Mus musculus: one gene and its partner. The protein of the gene in region 1 interacts with the protein of each later gene in a biochemical or structural test. Links are inferred from orthologs where the notes say so. Each region holds a gene or a part of one and is shown on either strand. Other genes may lie near its edges. The genes, in order: Pstpip1 and Ptpn18.

The links.
Region 2: the proteins of Pstpip1 (region 1) and Ptpn18 form a complex in vitro, tested with the Homo sapiens proteins (2 studies listed by BioGRID and IntAct). The link is inferred for Mus musculus from reciprocal best matches to the Homo sapiens genes PSTPIP1 and PTPN18.

The regions. Positions count from the first base shown.
Region 1 is NC_000075.6:56,122,696-56,129,600, forward strand, and holds the end of Pstpip1 (proline-serine-threonine phosphatase-interacting protein 1), read left to right. Parts: intron 1-11; exon of another isoform or gene 12-63; coding exon 64-126; intron 127-566; coding exon 567-665; intron 666-1,052; coding exon 1,053-1,098; intron 1,099-1,898; coding exon 1,899-1,978; intron 1,979-2,428; coding exon 2,429-2,527; intron 2,528-3,231; coding exon 3,232-3,328; intron 3,329-3,886; coding exon 3,887-3,977; intron 3,978-4,789; coding exon 4,790-4,842; intron 4,843-5,031; coding exon 5,032-5,165; intron 5,166-5,893; coding exon 5,894-6,025; 3' UTR 6,026-6,195; downstream 6,196-6,905. UniProt on the Homo sapiens protein: Involved in regulation of the actin cytoskeleton. May regulate WAS actin-bundling activity. Bridges the interaction between ABL1 and PTPN18 leading to ABL1 dephosphorylation.
Region 2 is NC_000067.6:34,468,300-34,473,973, forward strand, and holds the end of Ptpn18 (tyrosine-protein phosphatase non-receptor type 18), read left to right. Parts: coding exon 1-62; intron 63-1,540; coding exon 1,541-1,603; intron 1,604-1,900; coding exon 1,901-2,043; intron 2,044-3,193; coding exon 3,194-3,260; intron 3,261-3,341; coding exon 3,342-3,419; intron 3,420-3,512; coding exon 3,513-3,602; intron 3,603-3,803; coding exon 3,804-3,892; intron 3,893-4,463; coding exon 4,464-4,669; intron 4,670-5,035; coding exon 5,036-5,110; intron 5,111-5,279; coding exon 5,280-5,347; 3' UTR 5,348-5,485; downstream 5,486-5,674. UniProt on the Homo sapiens protein: Differentially dephosphorylate autophosphorylated tyrosine kinases which are known to be overexpressed in tumor tissues.

The DNA of each region.
Region 1 (6,905 bases):
TCTTGGCCTAGGGAAGCGTTTTGAGGCCAGAGCCCCCAGCTCAGAGCCTCATGTCTCCTGCAGTATGAGGCCATCATGGACCGTGTCCAGAAGAGCAAGTTGTCGCTCTACAAGAAGACCATGGAGGTAAACGGGAGGGCCTTGGAAGTCCCTCTGAGAGTCCTGGGTTGGACTTCTGGGACAGGCTTGCCTCAGACCTTTCTTCATTATATGTATCGGCCTGTTGGGGGCTGTGCTCGAGGCCCAGGACCTATTTATCATCACAAGCCCCTCAGTGCCTTGCCTGAAGAACAGAGGGACAGTCCCACACGCAGGAGTCCATGAGTGATCCAGTCATCTGAGGAGCCCAGAGTAGCAGGGATATGGGACACATGAGAGGGCAGGGCAGTATAGAAGACAGGGCCGAGTCGAGTCTCCATGGGAACGTGCTTCAGCCTCTGCATCTCTGTCCCTGGGAGTGATGCCAATTCTACCAAAGTCCCCACCCCCGGGAAGGGAGTCTGGGCTTAGGGAGCCTCCCACACTGGGGCATGCAGCCCTGCAGACACGCCTCTCCACACCTTCAGTCCAAGAAGGCATATGACCAGAAGTGCAGGGATGCAGATGATGCTGAGCAGGCCTTCGAGCGTGTGAGTGCCAATGGCCACCAGAAGCAAGTAGAAAAGGTGTGTATAGTGTGGGGGTGAGGGTGGGAGGGGAGGCCCTTAAACATAGTACCTGTTACAGACCAGAGCTGAGACTGAGAGGGCAGAGGGCTGTGGGTGAGTTGAATCCAGGCTGACCATAGTCCAGGTTCTGCGCAGCGATGCAGAAGAGGACACATAGCATCTACATTCTCTGTGTTTCCTGGTGGTCTGCAGGCTTCTGCTTTTATTTCCCCCTTGTGGAACCGGCCTGAGCCCCTCAGCAGTAAGGCTGCTGGTGAATGATAGAATTCACCCATCCATACTCTGATTCCGGATGGTGGCCAGGGAGGGTGCCAGTCACTTCTGAGTAGCTCTGAGGCTAGGATTCCTGGGCTTGGACTCAGTGTCCCTCTCCTGTCTCCTCAGAGCCAGAACAAAGCCAAGCAGTGCAAGGAGTCAGCCACAGAGGCAGGTACGTAGCCCTGGCCACCTTCCCAGACTGTCTGGCAGCCTAGCCGGTCCTCTTCCTCCAGACGGTGCTGTCCCACCTGCTAGCACTGTCCACTGTGTGCCTCTCCAGGCGTGCTCTCCAGAGACCATTCCTCCTTAGCCACTGCACACAGCCATAACATAAGGAACCGGGCACCCAAAGCACGTAGATAAGCTACCCAATGTCACACAGCTGCTAAGTGGTGCTGACAGCATTTGAATCTAAGCCACTGGGTTTCAGAGCCTCAGATCCACAGGGCCACATCCCTTCATCTAGCTCAAAATGACAAACGCTCACACTCAGCCTTCCTGGCTCCTGTCCTTTGCCTGATGCCAGCATTTGGCCACCCCCCCCATCCTCCCATCCCAGGATGGCATCCTTCTTCCCTCTGTTCCACCTCTCCAACATCTGCTCCTCCCTCAGCAGGTGCCACAAGACCAAGTCATAACTTCAGCTTGCTATCTTGTAGCACAACAGCTTATAGAGGTGCCCTCCTTGAGTCTCAGTTTACCATCTGTAAAGTGGAGTAACACCTCTGCATATTGAGTTCTGCTCCAGCCCCTGGAGCTCACAGCATAGTGGGGAAGTGGGAAGGGCGGTGCGGTGGCTGTGTGTGGTGACCAACAGCTAGCCAGGCCCCCGGGGAGGGGACTCCCGGGACTTGGGGAGGTTGTGCTGGGTGGGTCTCTGGAGGAGTGAAGGACAGAGGACGGAACTGTCTTGGAAACTGTTAGAGGAGATCCAGGCTACCAGGCCTGCCGAAGGCTCCCCTGTGTTTGTAGAAAGAGTGTACAGGCAAAATATCGAACAACTGGAGAGAGCGAGGACCGAGTGGGAGCAGGAGCACCGGACTACCTGTGAGGCAAGTGGCCCAGCAAGCAGCCTGCTCCTCCACAAGCTCCTCCTACCTGTGGCGGGGCGCGGGGGAGCACGGGGCTGGAGCTGGGGCTGGGGAGACACTCCCTCATTCCACTTGACACCTGCTGGGTCTCTCCCCATACTATCTGGCCTTATGCCCTGGATCCCTTTGTTCCACCCTGGGACCTACTGATGGTCAAGACCAGGGCAGAGTCCTGTACCTTTCACGAGCTTCCCCCAGCCTCCATTCTAGGACAGGGACCGATGGAGATGCAAACAGGCATTCCTAACAGTCTAGCCTCCTTCCAGCCGCTCTGGGTGGGGATCTTCTGGGCTGCCTTTGCTTTAGACTTGGCTGCAGCAGGGTGCTCTGCACTGGTCACCTAGCTGAGCGGTGGTGGTGGGCTGCCAGGCCTGGCCCCATAGTTAGTTCTCTCCCTTTTCTCCTCACTAGGCCTTCCAGTTGCAGGAGTTTGACCGGCTCACCATCCTCCGCAATGCCCTGTGGGTGCACTGTAACCAGCTCTCCATGCAGTGTGTCAAGGATGATGAGGTGTGTGCTGAGGGGAGGGAGGGCAGCATGGCAAGCTCAGTGTCCCCCACCTCTGCACTTCACACAGAGCAGTCTGACATGGCCTCTGGCCTGGCCTCCAGCATGGGAACAGCGCGCTTCTCTGGTCCCCCGCCTCTGCCTTTTCCTCCTACGTCCCTTCAGGGCTGTGTCCATCTATTCTCCCCAACACAGCAGAGACTTGCTGGGGGTGGAGGGGCTTTGCTCCAGGCTCTCTTACACCCCTCCCTCACCCCCCTCCCTCTCTCAGGGATGGCCAGGGTACTTCTTCCTCCCTCTCTCGCCTTATAAAATCCAATACTCAGGGATGGCCATAGTGCATCATACCCCAGGTTAGGGGGGGCTACCACCTACAGCAGGAGCTCTGGTTCTGGGTGCTTTAGGGGCACCTCTGACCCCTCCTGCCCTTGGCTAGTTGATCCTGGTGGCTTTCTCGTGTCAGCAGAAAGTGTGGTCTCTAGATATTCCCATGCCCAAAGCCCAGCTTTACCAAGATAGCAGGTCACTTTCCTGTGTTTCTTCATCTGAAGGCAGGTTAAAGTGTGGACCTCGGAGGACAGGAGTGAGCCGAGGCCTCTCCTCAGTCCCTCTGGCTCAGAGTCAGTGGCAGGACTATAGTAAGGCTGGGAGTCAGGCTGACATTGGGGCGAAGCCTGAACACAGCCTTTGCTCACCCCTACCCCCAGCTCTATGAGGAAGTGCGGCTGACCCTTGAGGGCTGTGATGTGGAAGGTGACATCAATGGCTTCATCCAGTCCAAGAGCACTGGCAGAGAGCCCCCAGGTAAGGCCCTGCCTGAGGGCAGCTTAGTGTCCACAGCCAGGTCTGGCTAGCTCTACACCAGGCCAGGCTCGGGTGGTTCACACTTCCCTACTGGATGGAGGTAGACCAGGCCCAGGCTGGGGCACAGGGTAGTTCTACTCTTCTGGAGAACCCATTCAGTTCCCAGCACCCACACCAGGCACCTAACACCTCTGGCTTCCACATGAATACACACACATCTATACATAATTAAAATTAATAAAACAAAATCTTTTTTTTTTTTTTTTTTTTTTTTTTTGGTTTTTCGAGACAGGGTTTCTCTGTGTGTAGCCCTGGCTGTCCTGGCACTCACTTTGTAGACCAAGCTGGCCTCGAACTCAGAAATCCGCCTGCCTCTGCCTCCCGAGTGCTGGGATTAAAGGCGTGCGCCACCACGCCCGGCTAAAACAAAATCTTTAAAAAAAAAAAAAGCCAGGCACAGTGTTCCATGCCTTTAATCCCTGCATGGGGTGGCAGAGGCAGGTGGTCCTCTGAACGAGGTCCTCGCTGCTCTTGGCCTCATGCATTTGCTCTCTGCAGCTCCGGTGCCTTATCAGAACTACTATGACAGGGAGGTGACCCCACTGATTGGCAGCCCTAGCGTCCAGCCCTCCTGTGGTGTGATAAAGAGGTGAGCACCCGATGAACTGCATATGATCAGGACACAGCCGCGGGGTCAGCCTGACTTCCACATCTCATGGCTGAACAGCTCCTGTGGGTCTGGTACCCTGTTCAGAAGCTGGCCATCCCATTGAGATAGTCCAGGATCAAACTACCGTCAGAGCGCCCCGGGTCCAAGAGCATCCAAGTACTAATTACTCACACTCCAGTTATTCACCAACGGCTATGCGGAGAGTCCCGGGCAAGTGCCCACTCTGGCTTCCTTGTCTGTCTGGCCCTACTGAGAGGCAGGGTAGTGTCTTAACTGAGAGGTAGCACGGGTGACTTCCAGGTGGCTTATGAATGGCCCAAAGCCCAGACATTTGGATTCACCAGGCTTTTAGAGGGCCATCTCCCTGGCCTGGCTGTAGTCAGGTGCCAAGGCCCTAGTTCTGTGTCCTGTGGGTGACCTGGCCTAGTCATTGCGCAGCCAAGGAAAAGACGACTTGCTTGGCCCACACTGGCTGGGCCTGGCAAGATATGTGGGAGCTGAACTTTAAAGGTAGCTTCCTCCTCCCCACAGAGCCTGGGGCTGGGGATCTGGTGGGGATGGGGCCCTGCTGGCTGCAGGTGCGGAGATGACCAGGAGAGTGACCATGGGAGGAGAGGATGCTGAGAACGAAGGGACTATCAGGAATGGCTGTGGGGAGGCCTGCTGCCATGGAGGCCTGTGGTGGTAGCAGGTTGGCAGAGGTCCTGAAGCGCTGAGAATTCCCAATTATCCCCTTTGCTTCCAGTGAGGTAAGGCAAGGCCTACCCCTCTTCTCTCCTCCCTACCACCAGGTTCTCTGGGCTGCTACATGGAAGTCCCAAGACCACACCTTCTGCTCCTGCTGGTAAATAAGGGGGAAGGGCTAATGGGAGAGGGGACATGTCTCCCACCAGTGGGGATGAGAGGACTCCTGTATAGCATTGATGGAACACTAATGTCCCAGAGGGAAAAGGTATTCTGTCCAAGAGTGTGGATGGTGTAGGATTAAGCCCCACCCCAGCAGTCTCAGATTCGGGCCTCATCCTGCTCTCAGCTTCCACAGAGACTCTGACTCCCACCCCTGAGCGGAATGAGTTGGTCTACGCATCCATCGAAGTGCAGGCGACCCAGGGAAACCTTAACTCATCAGCCCAGGACTACCGGGCACTCTACGACTACACCGCACAGGTGAGGGCTTCCCCTTGTGCCTGGGAGCACGCCTGGGGCGTGAGCACTTACATAGCACCAGAGACTGGAATAGTTCAGTGGACATCTGCTGGACCAGGATCTGCTGTGGATAGATCAGGCCTTGTGCACAATGACCAAAAATGAGTCCTTGAGCTGCCCTGGAACTATTTCCTGACATCCTTGGAGAAAGGTGGGCAGGGCACCCACAGAGCATCTGTGCTTGAGATGGACTGAAGTCCAACACAAGCCCTGGGCTTAAGGGGGTAGGGGTAGACCTGGAAGGCAGGCCCTGAACTTGGGCTAATACACCCACACATATAGGCAGACATGTAGGCAAGCTAGATGGGGCTGTACTGAGGTCACATTCAGGGGTACAGACCTGGACAGTAACAGGGTACTCAGGTAGCAGTAGATTGCTGTGTGATTTGTCTAGAGCTTGCCCTTACGTTGTGACAAGCACTTCTGAGGAGCTGCAGTGGTTGGAGCAGTGAGAGAAGTCCAGGATGGGAGGTCTCCATGACAACCTGAGCTTGTTAGGAGGCCAAGTGCCTTTGGGGAAACCCCACAGCCTGTCTATCTGCAAAGGAACCACTCTGGAGGCCTTAGCATGACTCAGCAGACTGCTTGCCCTGGGAGACAAACATGCACTGCCAAAGTGGGGGCCGCAGAGCACAGCACCCCGTCCTGGTGGCTCCTCCCATCTCACACACTTGCCATTTCTTGCCCAGAATTCTGATGAGCTGGACATTTCCGCGGGAGACATCCTGGCGGTCATCCTGGAAGGGGAGGATGGCTGGTGGACTGTGGAGCGGAACGGACAACGTGGCTTTGTCCCTGGGTCGTACTTGGAGAAGCTCTGAGGAAAGGCTAGCAGTCTCCACATACCTCCGCCCTGACTGTGAGGTCAGGACTGTTTCTTTCCATCACCGCCCAGGCCTCACGGGGCCAGAACCAAGCCCGGTGGTGCTGGGAATGGGCTGGGTGCTGGCTACTCTCAATAAATGTCTCCCAGAAGGAGTAAAGCGGCACATTCTTCCTTTGCTGGGGTCCTTTTCTCTTACCCAGTGTCCAGGGCCTCGATCCAGAGAGCCAGAGTATACAGAGGCTGGGAGAACAGAGCTCTGCCACTAACAGGAGCAGTCAGGCCCAGTCTCAGCCAGGGACAGAGGAGAGGCCTCGACCCAGGTGCCCGAAGCTCCCAGGCTGCCAGAGCTACATTCATACTTGGGACAGCCAGGAAGATGCAAGTGAGAGGGGCTCAGGAGGGCCACAATGAGATGAGGCATCCTGTGACAGGGAAGTGGGGCACAGAAGGATGTGGAGAGGCGGCAGCAGCCACGTTTGCCAGAAGGCAAATGTCTGAGCATACATAAGAACATAGGGGATAAGAAGACTGCTGGGGACGAGAAAGTGCTGGTGGCTCTGGAGGCGGCACACAGCCCTCAGTGTTCCTCCTTGACACGACCCCGTCATGTCTGTGCCTACCTCACAGGAACCAGCTGTGGGCCCGTGGCTTCCCTGCCTGCCCACCTGGAAGCCAGCAATAGAGGCCTAACCATGTACCAGGCAAATGTCAGCAGCCAGAGGTGAAACTGTGAGCAAGTATGGTCTAGAGAGGGGGGAGGAGGGGGTTGCTGCAAGGCTCCTCCATGTTCATCACCAATGCATCTCCATTCTCTGATCCTCACCGGAGCAGAAAGGCAGGCTTGGCTAAGCAACCATGCAGATTGACAAGGCTGG
Region 2 (5,674 bases), on another chromosome or scaffold:
GTGAACGCTACTGGGCCCGGGAGCAGGAGCCTCTAAAGGCTGGGCCTTTCTGCATCACCCTGGTAAGTTGGAGCAGGGCTGGGAACAGAGGTGGCTTCTGCAGGCCTTGGGTAGTGTGGGAGATCTCAAGGAAGACATAGGGAGTGAGAAGCCTTGGCTAGGCTTGGAAAGGTGAACCATTTTCTCATAACTCACACAGTGAAAAACTCAGAATGCATGTAGGGTACGTGCGGTTCCCTGGCCCTAGCAGTGTTAACTATGATTACAGTTACTGCGGTAACCAAAATGGACCTGTTCCCGTTTCTGCAATTCCTGTTTTACAGTGTTCTTTATTGGAGGAAATCCCTCCACATACAGGTACTTGGCCATTAACAAATGCAAGGAGACCATTGTGTTGCAGAACAATAGGACTCTCTTATGCTCACTGTAAAAGGATTAGTGTGTTTTGTATACTCATTCCTCTTTCCCAGTTCTGACAATAGCTTCCTTGAATGCATTGGGAGAAATTTGGGCCAAAAGAAAATTTAAAAATATCATCAGTATAGAAATTTATTTGAATTAAAAATATATGGCTACATTTACAGTAGCATAGTACCTAATGGATATATCATCATTGGTTGTGAAACCATTTAAAAAAATTCTTTTGAGGTTAAAAAAAAACCCATAATAAGAATGAAAAAGGGGGGCTGGTGAGATGGCTCAGTGGGTAAGAGCACCCGACTGCTCTTCCGAAGGTCAGGAGTTCAAATCCCAGCAACCACACATGGTGGCTCACAACCATCCATAACGAGATCTGATGCCCTCTTCTGGAGTGTCTGAAGACAGCTACAGTGTACTTACATATAATAAATAAATAAACCTTTAAAAAAAAAAAAGAATGAAAAAGGAAGCAAAAATATAATAAAACATAAATATAAAAATATAAATATAAAACTTTTATAAAATGTAATTCCCGAGGAATGGGAATCAGACACACAAGCTTGTCCACCAGAGTCTGACCTGTAGGACGTGCCCAGCAAGGTCTCCAGTCTCAACCACTGGCTAAGCCAGGAATCCTGGGAATGCAAGACGGCACCGCAGGCCTAAGAGTTTTAAAAATGTTTTTAGTGTTTGATTTTCAATTAAGAATGCTTTACTGGGGCTGGTGAGATGGCTCAGCGGTTAAGAGTGCCGACTGCTCTTCCAAAGGTCCTGAGTTCAAATCCCAGAAACCACATGGTGGTTCACAACCACCCGTAATGAAATCTGATGCTCTCTTCTGGAGTGTCTGAAGACAGCTACAGTGTACTTACATATAGTAAATAAATAAATATTAAAAAAAATGCTTTACTTTCATCAGGCAAGATAGTGCACGCCTGCCATCCCAGCACATGAAAGGCGGATCCCGAAGAGGATCTCTGGTTTGAGGCCAGTCTGCGCTCTACAGCAAGGCTTGTCTCCAAAGCAAAACCAAACCTTTGCTTTCTAGAAATGTGAAGTGTGTTATTAAGATCTCTATTTCTCTTCTGTTTCCTCTGTCCCCTTCTCACATGGCGCATAGACAAAGGAGACAACACTGAATGCAGACATCACTCTCAGGACCCTCCAGGTTACATTCCAGAAGGTACCAAAACGTTAAAAGGTGAAGGGACTCTTGCATGGGACGAGCTGTCTCTTCTCCTGTAAATGGAAACTCATGATTCCAGTCCGTTCCTGTCACCCTCAGTTAGCACACAATGGACTTGCTTGTCTCTATGGTGCTGAGGGTGGAGCCCACAGCCTTGTGCATGCTATGCAAATCCTCTTAGTCTCCTTCCTTATCTGGTGGATTTAAATGGAATAAGCTTAGAACTATAGTAGGTGATCAATAAACATGTTTTTTTTCTTTTTTTCTTTTTTCCACTCTCTGTTCCCGTCTCAGGAATTCCGCTCTGTGCACCAGCTACAGTATATGTCCTGGCCAGACCACGGGGTTCCCAGCAGTTCTGATCACATTCTCACCATGGTGGAGGAGGCCCGCTGCCTCCAAGGGCTTGGACCTGGACCCCTCTGTGTCCACTGCAGGTTTAGGAAATTTGTTTTATGAGGATCTGGTGAGGCAGAAGGGAGAGAATGAGACAGAAAAGCAAGGGAGAACAGTTGTGGCTAGGAGCCAGCCCTCCCTCCCTCCCTCCCTCCCTCCCTCCCTCCCTCCCTCCCTCTTTCTTTCTTCCTCTCTTGTTCTTTCTTTTTATTAAAGATTTATTTATTATATGTAAGTACACTGTAACTGTCTTCAGACACTTTTTCTTCTCTCTCTGCCCCTCTTGCTCTAGCCCAAACCCTCCTTGCCCCACTTGCTCTGGCCCCAAGCATAAGTACACTGTAGCTGTCTTCGGATATCCCAGAAGAGGGCATCAGATCTCATTATGGATGGTTGCGAGCCACCATGTGGTTGTGGGATTTGAACTCATGACCTTCGGAAGAGCAGTCAGTTAACCGCTGAGCCATCTCGCCAGCCCCAGCCTTCCTTTTCCAGTGGTATTTCTTGAGAAGCCTCTGGCCACATGTTCATGATACAATGAGCTGGAATTGCTAGCTGGAATAGACTGCCTGCTGGAGAGTAAGCATAGAACTGATTGTTCACAAGTCTAAGTGAATAAAAAAGGTTTTCCTGTGCCGAAGAAGTGCCTCAGTGGGCAAAGTCCTTGTTGTACACATTCTTGAGTTCAGCTCTTCATTACCCAGTCAAACCCAGGGCAGGTGGCTTGCCCCCTGTAACCCCAGTGCTGGGTGCTGGGTAGAGACAAGTGAACCCATTGAGGGGTTGCCAGTCAGTCAGGCAAGCAAATCTGTGAGCAGCCTGTTTAGTAAGAGATCCTTTCTTAAATTTAATATTGACCTTTGGTCTCCACACTGTCAACACACACACACACACACACACACAAAATGGGTGCATACTAATGTACAAAAAACCCCAAAAGGTTTTATTTAAAGTTTTAATCTAGGGATCCTGCAATTTAAGAGGTACTGATCTCCTTCAGGTCAGCTCAGAAGGGGTTGTGGTGTCTGTACAGTTAGGCAGTCCTGACATCCCAGCACTTAGGAAGCTGAAGTCAGAGGCTAGCCTGGGCAACCTAGCACAAGACCTGTGGGAAAAGGAGGAGGAACAGAATGGGGAAAGGGGCATTGTGGGTAGGCTATGATGGTGTCTGCTCTGATTCACGATTGTCAGTGCTGGCTGCGGACGAACAGGTGTCCTGTGCGCTGTTGACTATGTGAGGCAGTTGCTGCTGACCCAGGTATGACGTCCTCTGCTCTGTGTGCAGTATGTCCCATGTCTGCCTACCAGGGTCTGGTCACACTTCCCCTCTCTATCCCAGACAATCCCTCCCAACTTCAGTCTCTTCCAAGTGGTCCTGGAGATGCGGAAACAGCGGCCTGCAGCAGTGCAGACAGAGGTATGTGCTTGCCCCGTCTTCCTGTTCCTAAGGACGAGGGAGGTTTGCTTAGCTTCCCAATCTCCCCTTCTCAATGACCACTCACCCCAACAGGAGCAGTACAGGTTCCTGTACCACACAGTGGCTCAGCTATTCTCCCGCACTCTCCAGGACACCAGCCCCCACTACCAGAACCTCAAGGAGGTACAGAGCCCCCAATTTCACCCTTTCTGCCAGCCATCAACACCTATACCCTTCTTGGGAACAGCAACCGACTTACTGTGAAAGGCACCTTTGCCTCCTCAGAGCTCCTTCCCCAGGCTGTTCCCTAAGCTCACCTAGGCACCCACAGTGACCTGCAGCAGGGCTATGGCCTCAGGACCGACCCTGCCTGCTTCCCTGCAGAACTGCGCTCCAATCTGCAAGGAAGCCTTCTCCCTCAGGACCTCCTCAGCCCTGCCTGCCACATCCCGGCCACCAGGAGGGGTTCTCAGGTACTGGGCTCACTCTGTCCCTGGAAAATCAACCTCTACAGTCTGGGTTAGCTTTTCCCTTGGTCTTCCAGAAGGTAATTAATTAGGCAAGTACATTTTTAAAGAATTTCAATCTCTCTCTCTCTCTCTCTCTCTCTCTCTCTCTCCCTCTCTCTCTCTCTCTCTCTCTCTCTCTCTCTGTGTGTGTGTGTGTGTGTGAGAGAGAAAGAGTATGTGAGTCCTTACCTTCCACGTGTTTTGAGAAACAGTCTCACTGTGTACATCAGAGCTTCTGGGGACTCACCTGTCTCTGTCTCATTGTAGGAGGGTTGGGGTCTCACACACTCTACCACATGCGTCCTCCCTAGTCCCACTTGCCAATCTGGCCCTGTCCCTCCTGCTGTGGGGATTCTAGGGACACGGAACCTCTACTTTCTGCCCTCAGGTGGCCCGCCCCTTCCCTCCTTTCCTGCTCTGAAGACTGGGGCAGGCAGGAAGGAAGCCCGTAGCCTGGGCTGAGCTTGCTCCCCCCCCCCCGCCCCCCTCCCTTGTGCTAAGCGCTTTCACTTCCTCTGCTTGTTGCCCGCTGCAGGAGCATCTCGGTGCCTGCGCCCCCGACCCTCCCCATGGCTGACACTTACGCTGTGGTGCAGAAGCGTGGCGCTTCGGCGGGCACAGGGCCGGGGCCGCGGGCGCCCACCAGCACGGACACCCCGATCTACAGCCAGGTGGCTCCACGTGCCCAGCGACCGGTGGCACACACGGAGGACGCACAGGGGACAACGGCACTGCGCCGAGGTGAGTTGAGGCCCTCCGGGGGTGTGGAGCTGAGGACAAGTACCTATTAGCAACTTTCCCGCTCTCCTAAGGCTCCCGAGGGTCTAAGCGCTGCTCGGAGGTCAGCCCCAGATCCAGCATGGCCACGCCCCTAGGCTACTAAACGTCGGGGTTCAAGCCCCAAAATGAGCCCCAGGTCAGGTCTCAATTGGGAGACTGGGCTGTCTAACCCAAGGCCCCAAAGACAGACCTCCGAACTTGGACACGCCCATGGACACGCCTCCTACCGCTACCTCGGGAAGGGAAATCGGTAGCTATGCTGCTCTAGAGTCCCTGGAACTCTTAAAAGCAGCTTGAGCTGACCCATAGGGGTTCTCCTGCCCTCAGTTCCTGCGGACCAAAACTCTTCCGGGCCTGATGCCTACGAAGAAGTAACAGATGGAGCACAGACTGGAGGGCTAGGTAAGTCAGAGCCTAGGGTGCAGCTTTGGAGAGCCCCAGGACTTCGGGAGTTCGGGCTGGGGCACTGGACTCAGGTTCTCCTTCATATACCTGGATCTGGAGCGGTGTGGGTTTGGAGGAGGTTACCCTGTCACTCCTTAGCTTCTGCATGGAGCCCTTCTTCCCTTAGGCTTCAACTTGCGCATCGGAAGGCCCAAAGGGCCCCGGGATCCTCCAGCAGAGTGGACACGGGTGTAACGAGTGCTGTGCCAGTTATAGCCTGCCACTCGGTGGTGGCTGGACTCCTGGAACCACCATACTGCTGTGCAGTGTGTTATGTATGAGTGGGACTTGTGGGCCTGATTCAAAATAAAAGTTTCTCAGGGCAGAAAAAAATAGGGGCTTTGTTCCAGTGATTCTAGCAGTCAAAGACTGGGGCTAAGAGAGGTAAGTGGGGGAGGTGGTGGATCTATTCTGAGACAATTTAAGGAAGCAGGTCAGGAGTGGCCATCACCACCCTCCTCCCCGTACACCTACCGGAGAGTGCATCCCAGACAGAGTCCTAGCTCACAGAGCCCTCAGCAG